3 linked regions of the Rhinolophus ferrumequinum genome follow. The protein of the gene in region 3 purifies or fractionates together with the protein of the main gene of each other region. This does not show direct contact. Links are inferred from orthologs where the notes say so. Each region holds a gene or a part of one and is shown on either strand. Other genes may lie near its edges.

Region 1 (3,749 bases), on a different chromosome or scaffold from region 3:
AAAAAAAAAAAAAGGTAGATCAGGAGGTATTTCATTTTCTATGGCTCTGGGTCTAGGATTTCAAAAAGTCTCCTTCACCCAGTATCTTTAAGGCCTTTCGTCATAGAGAGATGTGGTAGGGGAAGCCAGAATGGAGGGGAGACAAAACCATAGTACTGTCATCTTCCCTCGGGACTCAGTCACCCTGCCCTAATTAGATGACAGCTAGACCTCTCCATTGCCTCCTGGTTCTGCCTGATTGATGCAGAGCATAAATGTATCCCATGCTTTGGGATTCTCTCCCCCGACTCCTTGGGCTGCCCAATCTCAAGAGACTATTTCCACACAGGGTAGAGCGTGCACCCTGAACGCTGCACACCACAGCTTTGCTCCCCAGGGTTTCAGCGAAACCCGATCACCCAGGAGGTGGTATCAAGGGCAGATAGCTACCCTCAATGCACCTCACACTGCACGCTGCAGCCTTCTGCCCCACGCTGCAGCTGTTGCATGTCCACTGTGAGCCCAGGCCGAACCCACAGGTTCACTGACTGCATGCTGACTCTGCATACTGCAGCCTCCATTCCCTACTGCAGCTGCCACAACTCCACACTGCAGGCTCCCTTCACCCATGGCATACCCCTCATCACCAGCACTCCACTCTGCAGCCCCAGGCTTTCATCCCAGCGATGCTTCTCATCCCCATGATTCCAGCGGGTCCCAAGAGATGCTCCATCCCCTCCCCATGCACGGTAGACCCCAATGCCCCCTGTAAGCGAAGTGGCTGCAACAGAGATGAGGATGCAGGTGGCTGAGACTGAGATGAACCAGGGCAGCCCAACTCAGATAGGCTGTTGGTCAGAAGCCCCACACTTAGCAAGTGATTTTTGTAGAACAGCTCCCCCTTCACATACACACACACACACACACACACACACACACACACACACACACTCCAACAGCAGACTGTGGAAACAGGGCCCAGCCCTGAAAGCCGTGGGAAGGCTGTGGCCCCCGCTGGTAAAACTGGGCTAATGACAGCAGGGGAACCGGCGGGGCCAGAGGGGGTGCTGGGGTAATTAGAGCTCTGCCTGGCGCTCGGAGATCCCGAGATGAAAGGGGCTCTGGCGTCACTGGGATGGTTTTATGTCCATGAGTGCAGGTGTGTGTGTGTGCAATGGGGTGGGTGGGAGCTGGATGGTAGGGGAAGGGCATCCATTTTTATGCAGGCTGCCTTCCTTAAATTGGCCCTGATACCATTTGGATTTTGGTGGGGGTAAACATGGAAGGAAATACCACCTCTGTGAAGCTGAGAGTTGATGGGGTAGAGCAAGTCTTGCCCCCTCCCCAGCCGAGCAAGAGGACCAGATTGTTGAGGAAATGGCTGATGACAGTGAATAAAAAGAGCCTATATTGAAATAGGGTGACATTTGAAAGGGGAGGCAGTGGATCAGGTAATGATGTTAGAAATGAGAGGGGAAGGAAGCGAGTAAATGGCGAGTAATGGCGAGTAAAACTCCAAAAGAATTTAAAACATAGATGATTGAAGTTAAAAGGACCTCAGGGGTCACCTGCCGAACCCTGGTATTTTAAGGTTGAGGAAGCTCTGCCCCCGACAGCAGGGGTGATTTGCTCAAGGTCACACAGTGAGTTACTGGCAGAGAAGAGACCCGAACTCAGAAACAAACTCGAAACCTCCAAGGGTTTGGTATTTAGACTTTCGCCCTACTTATAAGGTGCAGGCGTCTCGTCAATACTCCCTTCTCCATCCCCATGGTGCAAACACCAAAACCTTCCATTCTTCCAGCAACTGAAGACTATTTTTTAAATGACATCTTTTTCAAAATATGTCACCCAGTATCACTCCTGCCGGAGACGCCTGGAGTGGGGAGGGCGAGTCCGAGCTGGGCGGGTGTAGAGGCGGCCGAGGGGCGGCCGGGCGGCTGGCTGGCCGGGGTCCCGGGGCGCGGCGGGGGGCGGGGGGCGCGGGTCGGCGGCGGCAAGGCGGCCTGCAGGGAGCAGCCGCGAGCCGGCCGGGCGCGCCGAGCAAGAGCCCCAGCCGGAGCGGGGCGGGGGAGGGAGGAGCCAAGAGCGGCCGCCGCCTCTGCCGGAGGAGCCGCGGGGCCGCCACACTCGCCCCCCGCCCCCCCGCGCTCACTCGCACTCACACCCGGGCGCAGGAGGCGGGCGGCCCGGGCCCCACCGGCCCCCCATGGACGCCCCCGGCACGGGGCGCTGAGACCCCGCGTCGCTCTCCAGCCCTGTCCAGCGCGCCACGCCGAGGTAAGGGGGAGGGAGCGAGGGGGGTATTAATATGCAAATACCTCACGATTGATTATGCAAAGCCACAGGGCTCTCTGGCCAGCTCCCGGCGGGCTGGGGGCGTCCGGGGGGGACCCGCCGCCAACCTTAGCCTGCCCCCGACGCCCCTGAGACCCTGTCACAACCCGGGAGCTTGCAACTTACGCCCTGAGGAAGGGAGGTGTTGCTAGGAGGTCGGTGGGCCCCAGGGTTCGCCGGCGGAGATGGCGTCCAGGCCTCCCCCTCGAGGGCCCGCCCGGCCTCTGTCCGGCCCGTCTGCTGCGCATTCCCGGGCCCGGCCCCGCTGCCGGCCGCCGAGCGCCCCCGCCCGCCGCGCCGCGCCGCGGTTTGTTTACGGTGCGCGGGAGGCCTGCCCCTCAGCCCCCACCCCTAGCCTTCCAGGCCGAGGCCGAGTGGCCTTTGCAAAGCTGCCTCCAGCTGCGGAGGGCAGTACGTGTGGCGTGGGGAGTGGGCTTGCAAGGGTCCCGGGAGAGGGAAGCCCCCCCCTCCACCCGCCTCCCCAGTTGAGCATGGCTCTCTGGTTGCAACACTCCTAATTGCAAAAAACGCGGCTGGGGGTGGGGTGGAGGTGTGTGTGTGTGTATGTGTGTGTGTTGGGGGGGAGTGTATTTGAGGGTCCCCAGATGATTAGAGTTGCAAGCTAGGGTGGTTGGGGAAGAGAGGGAGGAAGGGACCTGTGTTGTGTGTACCCCCCCTTTTCCCCTCCCCTTGCAACGTGTCTCCTCTGGTGCCCCTTCTCTGTCTGGGGCCCTCCCTTGTCCCGTGTGAAAGAAAGGCCTGGGGAGGGGGGCAGTGATAGGGGCAATGGAGAGAGCCACTGTTTCCAGGGGTGGAGGTCGAAGGAGGGCAGCCAGTGGGATGGTAGCCCACCCCTCAATGATGGCTCTGGCCCCAGGAGGGGGAAGGGATGAAGGGGACTGTTGTCCAAGATGAGAAGGGAAGCAAATGTGACATGCAGACACCAAGATATGCCCACATAGACAGCCACATGCACACCCAGGGACACCCAGGCGTACTCAAGGACAGGAGCTACTGGACACACCCACATGGGAACAAGGGAAGTGGCAGGCTGCTGCTGCACTGGGGAGCTCAGAGGGATGGGACACACCCACGGGAGACCGACCCATGCACATACCTACGCACAGGGTCACACGGAGACGCTGTCACACACAGGGGCAAGGAGGAGTCGCTGTCACCCACACAGAAAAAGTCACTATCGCATGCATACATGAACACAGAGCAATTGCACACCGCCGCACATTACAAAAGACCCTGTCACTCACAGGCACACACGTGCTTGCATGAGCCCAGTCACACAGGCATCAACGCCTGCCGTGACAGTCGCTGTTACTCAGTCAAATGCAAACGTAGTTACACATCAACACATGTATACACAACTTAGCAACAAGTATTTTCCTGGACTTCTACTGTGGATCTCTGAGGTTCTGTAT
Region 2 (3,749 bases), on a different chromosome or scaffold from region 3:
GTGTGAATCTAATCCTTAAAAGGCCAATCAATTATGAATCCAACGACAGAACAAATTTCTAGATTTCTGTGACTTTAAATCTGATACTGAAATGTACTGCCCATATCGAAGTCTGTCTTATAGGACATCCTCAAAAGAGCCTATGTCCCGTTGTTCTTCATTACCACTGTCCCTAACACATACTTCTGTTGTTGATCATATAATGTGGATTTACAAATATTACTTTCTTCTTGGCTCTCTCATTAGAATATAATATTCTTGCAGATAAGGGCCATACCTTAACTCATACAATGTTTAACAAATTATCAAACATTTTAAATCTTTTGGAAAGATGGTCAACATCAGAGAAGTGCAAAATAAAATTATATACTGAGATAAAATTTCTCATGTTTTAGATTGGCAAAGATCACAAAGTTCATTAACACTCTATTGTGAAGCTGTAGGGAATATATACTCTTAAATATTGCTAATGTTTAGGAGTATAAATTGGTGAGCCTTATGGAAAGCAACCAGGCAATTTCCATAAAAATTACAAATAGCCATACCTGCTCATTCAGCAATACTATTTCCATGAATTTATTCTCTGTCCCATGTGCAACATTAATCATTTTGCATTGTTTAAGGTGGAAAAGATAAGAAGCAACCTAAATGTCAGTCACTAGGGGACTGGTTAAAAAAAGGAAGGTGTAGCCATAAAACAAATATGCTGGAAGCAAGGAAGGAAGTCAGAAATTTTAATTTTTAGTGGATTGTTGTAGAATTACTTTCAGAATTAATTAATTCTGGTATTAAGGGTGAAAAAAAGCAAGGTGCTAATGAACAGTGTACATAATATATGACCATTCTATAAAAACGATTCTATATGCATAAAATACTTCTAGAAGGAAATACAAACTAAGAATCCTGGCTACAGATGGAAAAAAGAAAAGGTAATTAAACTAAAGAGATGAAAGACAGACTATTAATTGGGTCCACCTTTTTGTACCTTTTGCATTACAACACTTTAAAAAAAGAATGTTTTATCATTACGTGATCCATGTCTGAGTAGCAAGTCTTACCACCAATGGTTTAACTGCAAACATTTTCCTACCTATAATGAACCATAAAAAGACAATGAAGTCTTTAAGGATCACACATTTTGTCTTTTTCAGGGATATATTTTCTGGTGACTGTTCTTTGTTATTAAGTTTTACTGTTCCTTTCCTCTTTTTTATTATAATATCTTTATATCCTTATTATAAAATAGGATCCTTATTGTGGCATTTCTGTATCTTTACTATAGTATCTCTATATCAATACTGTGCCAGTTCCTTTGTTGAGAAAATGAAATTTTTATCCTTTATAATCCCTAACACAGCTGTTTTCAAGTACACCAAATAAATGAGAATAGGATAAAAATGGTTTTATGTAATCTAACATGGGAGATTTTTAAAGACATCTCACACTGTACTGTCATCAACTTGAATTCTCAATACAGGTTCCCCACTGGAATACAAATTGAAACAAATGGAAACCAGAATAGACATAAAAGATGACGACAATTTTATCTCCCCTTTTCCAACAGCAACATCAAAGTAAGTGTAAAAAAAAGAAGGGGTCAAAAATTATTAGCTGAATGTATTAAAAAAGCAGTACTCACCTGGGAAAGACCACTCCAAAACTGTCTGAAGGCTCCCAAACAGCTAATTAGTTTTGTTTTTTCATCTTCAGGGGTGTCCATAAACATGCTATAAACAAAAATCACGTTATTTGCCACTAGTTTTAAAAAGGTAATTCAACATAACCAGAACTGTGGATCTTATAAATCTCCAAGACAAAACTGAGTAAAATCTTAACAAAGATACACCCACGTAAAAACACAAAAATCTGCTCTGCATATACTCACCCAGGGAAAGCCTCTTCTATAATTTCCGTTTTCTGCAACAAAACAAAACAAAACGATATGAATAAAAAATTAAAAACTAAAAAAAAGGAGGGGCCTCCCCGAGCAAAACATTGGTGTAACATAGGGCAAGTCACCTTAACCACCTACACGCAGAAACTAACAATGCCTGCCTGACCTGTCACAATGCCTATTGTGGATTTCAAGGAGGCTTTGAATTTGACAGCAGTTTGAGAATCGCTAAACCTCTGCGCACATACACAGTGTCACAACCAAGGAGAGGTGGGGAGAAGTTGGCCGAGCCGGATTCTTTAATCCGATGCCCCCAAGACTCCCCCTCGCCCGGCCGTAGTCCTGAATCCCTGACCCTTTCACTCACCACCACCTCCTCAAAAATGCTCTGCAGTTGCGTCTCCATCTGGACCATCACCCCCGCCTTCCTTGGGCGCCCGGCGCGCGGCCTGCGATCAGGCCCGAGCTCCGGGGAATAGAAAGAGGGGCGGAGACGCCCTCAGGAAATCGCAGGTCGAACCGATCGCTTTCCACCCCAAACGCTCAAATGAAAGAGTCCCCTCTAAGGTCCAGCAAACAACCGAGGCCTGCAAGGAAGCACCGGGAAGCTCATGGTGCTTTCCGATTACAAAACCCCCGGAAACCAGGGACCTAGCTAGATGGTTCCGAGAGTCAGAAGAGAGCGCCCCCAAGCGGCGCCTCGAGCATAAGTCACGTCGAGGCGTTGTCCGCTGCAGGCCGCCACCTCCTGGCAGGAGCGGGTGTTGCTTCCTCCTCGGGTCTAAAGCTTTTGCATGTTGGAAAGGAGAAAAGCTTGGATGCCAGGGGCTGCAGTCTGCAGGCAATGTTTCTGCTGCACCCTGCACCCTGGGTCAAACTGATGATGGCTGCTGACTTTCTGTCCTGCAGCTCCATCAGCAGCCTGGAGCCAGGAGTTGAAACAATACTTTTCTTGACCACAGATATCATATCTTCTCAACGATGGTAACCTCAGTGCTGGACACATAGCAGGTTTTCAATGAATGTTAAAAAAAAGAATGCATCATTATTGATTTTTAATTGGAATAACAATATTTACCATTTTTAGTTATCATAATCTAAAAATAATATTTATCAATTACTGAATACCTGTAGCCTATTTGATGGGGATGGGGTGGAGAAGGGTGGCAAAGAGGAAGGCTGATCCACTGGTGTGGTCAGAGCAGATACCTAAGTGCTCTGACTGCTGTGCCTCCCCACACCCCATGGCTTTATTCCTTCAAGCGGGAAACCTTGTCCTTCTTCAGCCTGATTTAGGGGTCTCTTCTTTATCCTCATAAAACACCTTTGTGCATAACTAGTAGAGTACTTCATTTATGGAGTATTTATCCACCATTCACTCAGTGCTAGAAACAGTGTTAGGTGTTTAATGAACTATTGCAGTAATCAATTTTGCAGAATGTCCAAGCTAGGATGACAGACCTAGAATTATTAAAACCCAAGTTCCCTAACAATCTATTGTTCTTTTTTCTATATTAAGCAAATTATCTTATAGTGTATTACCTTTAATCACATACTCTTCTAAAATGGTTTTCATCTACTATCAAGCAGATTTTCATGCTTCCACTCTGTTTCCAAATTAGTGTATTCTCTGCAAATGCCAGCTAATCTTAATATGGGCCAGGGCTTGTACAGTTAACAAGGTAAAATAGCCAGGAAAGAATTATGTTTTGGCCATAACTAAATACAAATTATTTTTTATATCATTCTTGTTGATGTTCCATTCATTGAATAAAAATTGACCATCTATTTCTAGATCTTCTTAATGTGTTTCCCCCAATATTCATTTTTAAAATCGATGTATAATTTATATACA
Region 3 (3,749 bases):
TTCTCTAAGAAAGGAAATGAGGCTCTAAGGATATGTTACTGATAGATGACAAAGCAAGATTCCAATCCAGATCCACCTAACTGGTCAGTGTACACCAAACACTAAATAAGATTTAATGTACTAGGTAAAAACAACATCATTTACATCAGTAGTGAGGTCACTATTTTCTCCAAGGAAATTTATATAAGAGAAGAACCCTTTTGAGGATTTTTCATAAAATGGTATCATTGTCATCATCTTACATGGTTTTTTTTGACATAAACATGCTTACTCATTAATTCAACAAATTTTTCCTGTGCTTTGCATCCAAGGCATTATACTAGGTGTTATGAAAGATGCACATATGACTTCCTATAGGAATTTGTAATATAGCAAGAGAGAGGAGTAAAAGACAAATCAATTTAATGAATACTATGGAAAGGTGAAAAAAGTGTTAGGGGGTTAAAAGTGGGAGAGATTATATATGCTTTGGGGAGTGGGGAGCTTTGGTGGAAACGGTAGCAACTGGAAAATGTAAAATAAATACAAATATAAAATTAAAATAAAAAAATAGACATCTAAATAAGAGGGTTAAGGCAAAGTGAGGGATTGTTGTCAAGATATGGGGACTCCTCCAGCTGACACCATTCCTACCTTGAAATGATTAACAAATAGTTTCCATGGATTTATATCCACTGCTGTAATCATGGCTAAAAATTGCTGTTCTTATCGGCAGGGGTGCAGAAGGTCATTCTCAAAATAAAGTCCTCTCTGAATGGATGGGAAGCAATCGGGTGGTCATCCACCCCAAGAGTAACACTATTTGCGCATAGGATCAGTATGGACACTCATCATTGATTCACTCTTATTGATGTTTGTAACGTATGTCAGTGTTATCATTGTGCAACCCTTATCAGATAGTGAACCGCAAGAATACACAAGTGATAGTCCATGAGCTGTTTACAAATATATAGACTTTTTTTGATAACGATGATGTCCTTTAATACCTGAAGTTCAGAAGTGGCACAAAGTGTGATGTCAATACAAACTAGCCTCCCTCACACGTGAATTTCTTTGGTTAAGTTTACGGCCCAAATCAGACACTAACGATATCGCTGCTAAAAATAATTTTTCCTAAGTGATTGAAACTAATCTCACTTTGGACTACTAATTCCATCATGCAACGCTCCTACATGTACCCACTGTATGGGGTGGAGTCGTAGAAGGGGCGGCAACAGCGGCGGCTAGTGCATTCTGGGCATTGTAGTCTGGGGCCCTGGCCGCCGTCGGGACGGTCCACGTGGTGAGTTTGGCGGCAGCTTTGGGCAGTGGCTACCCGGCTCCCTTCACACTGTCCTGCGGGTACCGGCCCCGGCGGGGGCAGACAACCGCTGCGGAGCGGGCTGGAGGGAGGGCCGGAGGTAGCCCGAGCCTTCGCGACGTTTTTGCGACAGCCGCGGCCGTGTTCCGCGATTCCCCTCCCTCCTCCTCTCTCTGAGGAGGTACCGGCTGTTGTGCGGGGCTGCCTTTCTGTTTGAGTGTATGGGAGAGTGAGTGAGTGAGTGAGTGAGTGTGAGCGTGTGTGTGAGAGAGGGTGAGGCGTGAGTGCGCGTTTGAGAGGACGAGAGCCCGCCGTGGCCGCCCCGCCGCTCCCCGCAGCGGGAGCAGAACGCGCGGCCGGAGAGAGCAGAAGAGCCGGCGCCCCGGGAGTCCGCGGGGACAAGGGCAGAGACACCCGCTCCCCACCCCCAGCCCTCGTCCCTCTGCTCTCCTGCGCCCGGGGGAACCTCCCCGTCCCACCCCACCCTCGGCCGGCCTCTGCCCCGCTGCCTCCCTGGATGTCCCCGGCGCTCTCGCGGGGCCTCCTCCTGCTCTTGCCGCATCGGTCGGGCTGGTGCTGCGGCCGCCGGGTGTAGAGCGGGCGGGTTCCCGGGGGCTGCGGCTGCCGGTGCTTCCCGGGTCCCCACCCCTGTGCCCCGGCCCCCTGACCCAGCTCCCCGGCCTCGGAGGCTGTGACAATGGACTATGACTTTAAAGTGAAGCTGAGCAGCGAGCGGGAGCGGGTCGAGGACCTGTTTGAATACGAGGGCTGCAAAGTTGGCCGAGGCACTTATGGTCACGTCTACAAAGCCAAGAGGAAAGATGGGTGAGTGTTTGTGTCTGTGCCGGTGTCCGCGCTGGGCGGCGCTCCCGCAGGCCCAGGCAGGTAGCCGGCAGGGAGAGCGGAGCGCTGGAGTGCGGGGCTCCCACTTCCTAGACACCCGCATCTGTCCCCGCCAGCCTGGTTCGGAGAGGAAGTGGTGGACGAAGGATCCAAACCCGCACGCAATGCTGCGTGCTGCTGCCTCTGTTCTACTTTGGTGGCTCATAGGGAAAAGCAGCCTCTACCCCACGGGCTGTATACTTTTCAAGGGTTTCGGTACCAGATTTTAAAAAATAAATTCGTTATAAAACGTCAGTTTAAATGATTTGGGGGGGGGAGGTGTCGATTTATTATGGTAACCTGGGGATTTCCTCACCCGCTTCTGGAGTGACATCCATAAGTCTGGAAGGGAAGCTGTGATCCTTTCCTCCACCAGTTTGTGATTGATTTTTTTTTTTAAATCAAATTTGGATTTTATTTGGGGGAAGAGAGCAGCCGGTAAATCCGGTTCTGAAGAGTTCCTCTGTGATCATCTGCAACATAAATGTAGCAATTGCTATTTAGATACCATTAGCTGTGGGTTTTACATAGAACAATGGGGGTTGGTGTAGGGTGGGTGGTGGGGAAAAAGGCCAGTGACACACAGGGGTTATCTTGTTCAGGCCGTTCCCCCCCAAATTTAGCAGCTGGCAGTGAACTTTAAATAGGCTCTTTGCTTTAAAGATTCTTCCCTAGAAATAATTAAGTCTATGACTGGTAATGCTCCCAATTTAGTTTCTTAAACAGGCAAGTGAAGTGTTCATTTTTCCTTTGTCAGTAGATGAATGTCTTGTAATATTGACAAAAGAGAAGGCAATTCTTAGTTGAGGAGAAAAATATATTTAATTAAGTCCTTGTTTTCCTCTTGTAAAAATGGATGTTGTCGCTGTTGCCTTTGACACTATAGAAAATTGCTGGAAAGACAATACCAGAGCTTATTATATAATCTTTAGATTTTATTATAAACAAAGTAGCTTTACTTGAACATCGCTGTTAGTTTGGTTAGCTGCTGTTTAACAATTAAAATAATTGTTTTTTCCCCCCAAATTAGGTAGGAGGATATGTTTAGAACTATATGAGCAGTAAAAAATGAAACCATTCATAAAGCTGAAATAAGTTACCTACGGGGTGGGAGGGAAGCCATATTTATAACTACTTTAGTATTCTGGATATTGGAAAGGAAGTGTATATCAACATTTTTCTTAGATTTACGGAGATATCTTTCAAAAAAACTTAAAATGGACTCTAAGTAAAATACTAATTCTAATTAATTTGGAATGTGCATTTCAGTGCTTACATGCAGCAGTAAAGCAGTACAGATATCTGCAAAAGGTAGGGATTTGCAAACTTGATACTCTGGGTGCTGCATGTACTGAAAAGTACTTTTTAGCAGAATGGGTAGTCTGGTGACATTTGAGAAATCAACGTCTGGAGATGGTGTTGACTCTTTTTTAATTATATTTCTCGTTGAGGTATTACTCTGTAATATATTTTAAAAATTGTCCTTGTTAACTTCCCATATAGTATTTTTCCAGCCTTAAACCATTTTCCCATCCCCCAATGTTATGTAATTTGGGGTATATTCATA

Evidence for each region.
Region 1: the proteins of CDK8 (region 3) and MED24 purify together in Homo sapiens (affinity purification with mass spectrometry; 13 studies listed by BioGRID and IntAct, counting the BioPlex papers as one, with this or other methods). This does not show direct contact. The link is inferred for Rhinolophus ferrumequinum from reciprocal best matches to the Homo sapiens genes CDK8 and MED24.
Region 2: the proteins of CDK8 (region 3) and MED23 purify together in Homo sapiens (affinity purification with mass spectrometry; 10 studies listed by BioGRID and IntAct, counting the BioPlex papers as one, with this or other methods). This does not show direct contact. The link is inferred for Rhinolophus ferrumequinum from reciprocal best matches to the Homo sapiens genes CDK8 and MED23.

Annotation. Positions count from the first base shown.
Region 1 is NC_046304.1:36,566,365-36,570,113, forward strand, and holds the start of MED24 (mediator of RNA polymerase II transcription subunit 24), read right to left. Parts: upstream 2,600-3,749; 5' UTR 2,443-2,599; intron 2,260-2,442; exon of another isoform or gene 2,058-2,259; intron 1-2,057. UniProt on the Homo sapiens protein: Component of the Mediator complex, a coactivator involved in the regulated transcription of nearly all RNA polymerase II-dependent genes.
Region 2 is NC_046286.1:78,969,152-78,972,900, forward strand, and holds the start of MED23 (mediator of RNA polymerase II transcription subunit 23), read right to left. Parts: upstream 2,543-3,749; 5' UTR 2,310-2,542; coding exon 2,262-2,309; intron 1,918-2,261; coding exon 1,886-1,917; intron 1,728-1,885; coding exon 1,640-1,727; intron 1-1,639. UniProt on the Homo sapiens protein: Required for transcriptional activation subsequent to the assembly of the pre-initiation complex. Component of the Mediator complex, a coactivator involved in the regulated transcription of nearly all RNA polymerase II-dependent genes.
Region 3 is NC_046287.1:98,622,268-98,626,016, forward strand, and holds the start of CDK8 (cyclin-dependent kinase 8), read left to right. Parts: upstream 1-1,472; 5' UTR 1,473-1,997; coding exon 1,998-2,125; intron 2,126-3,749.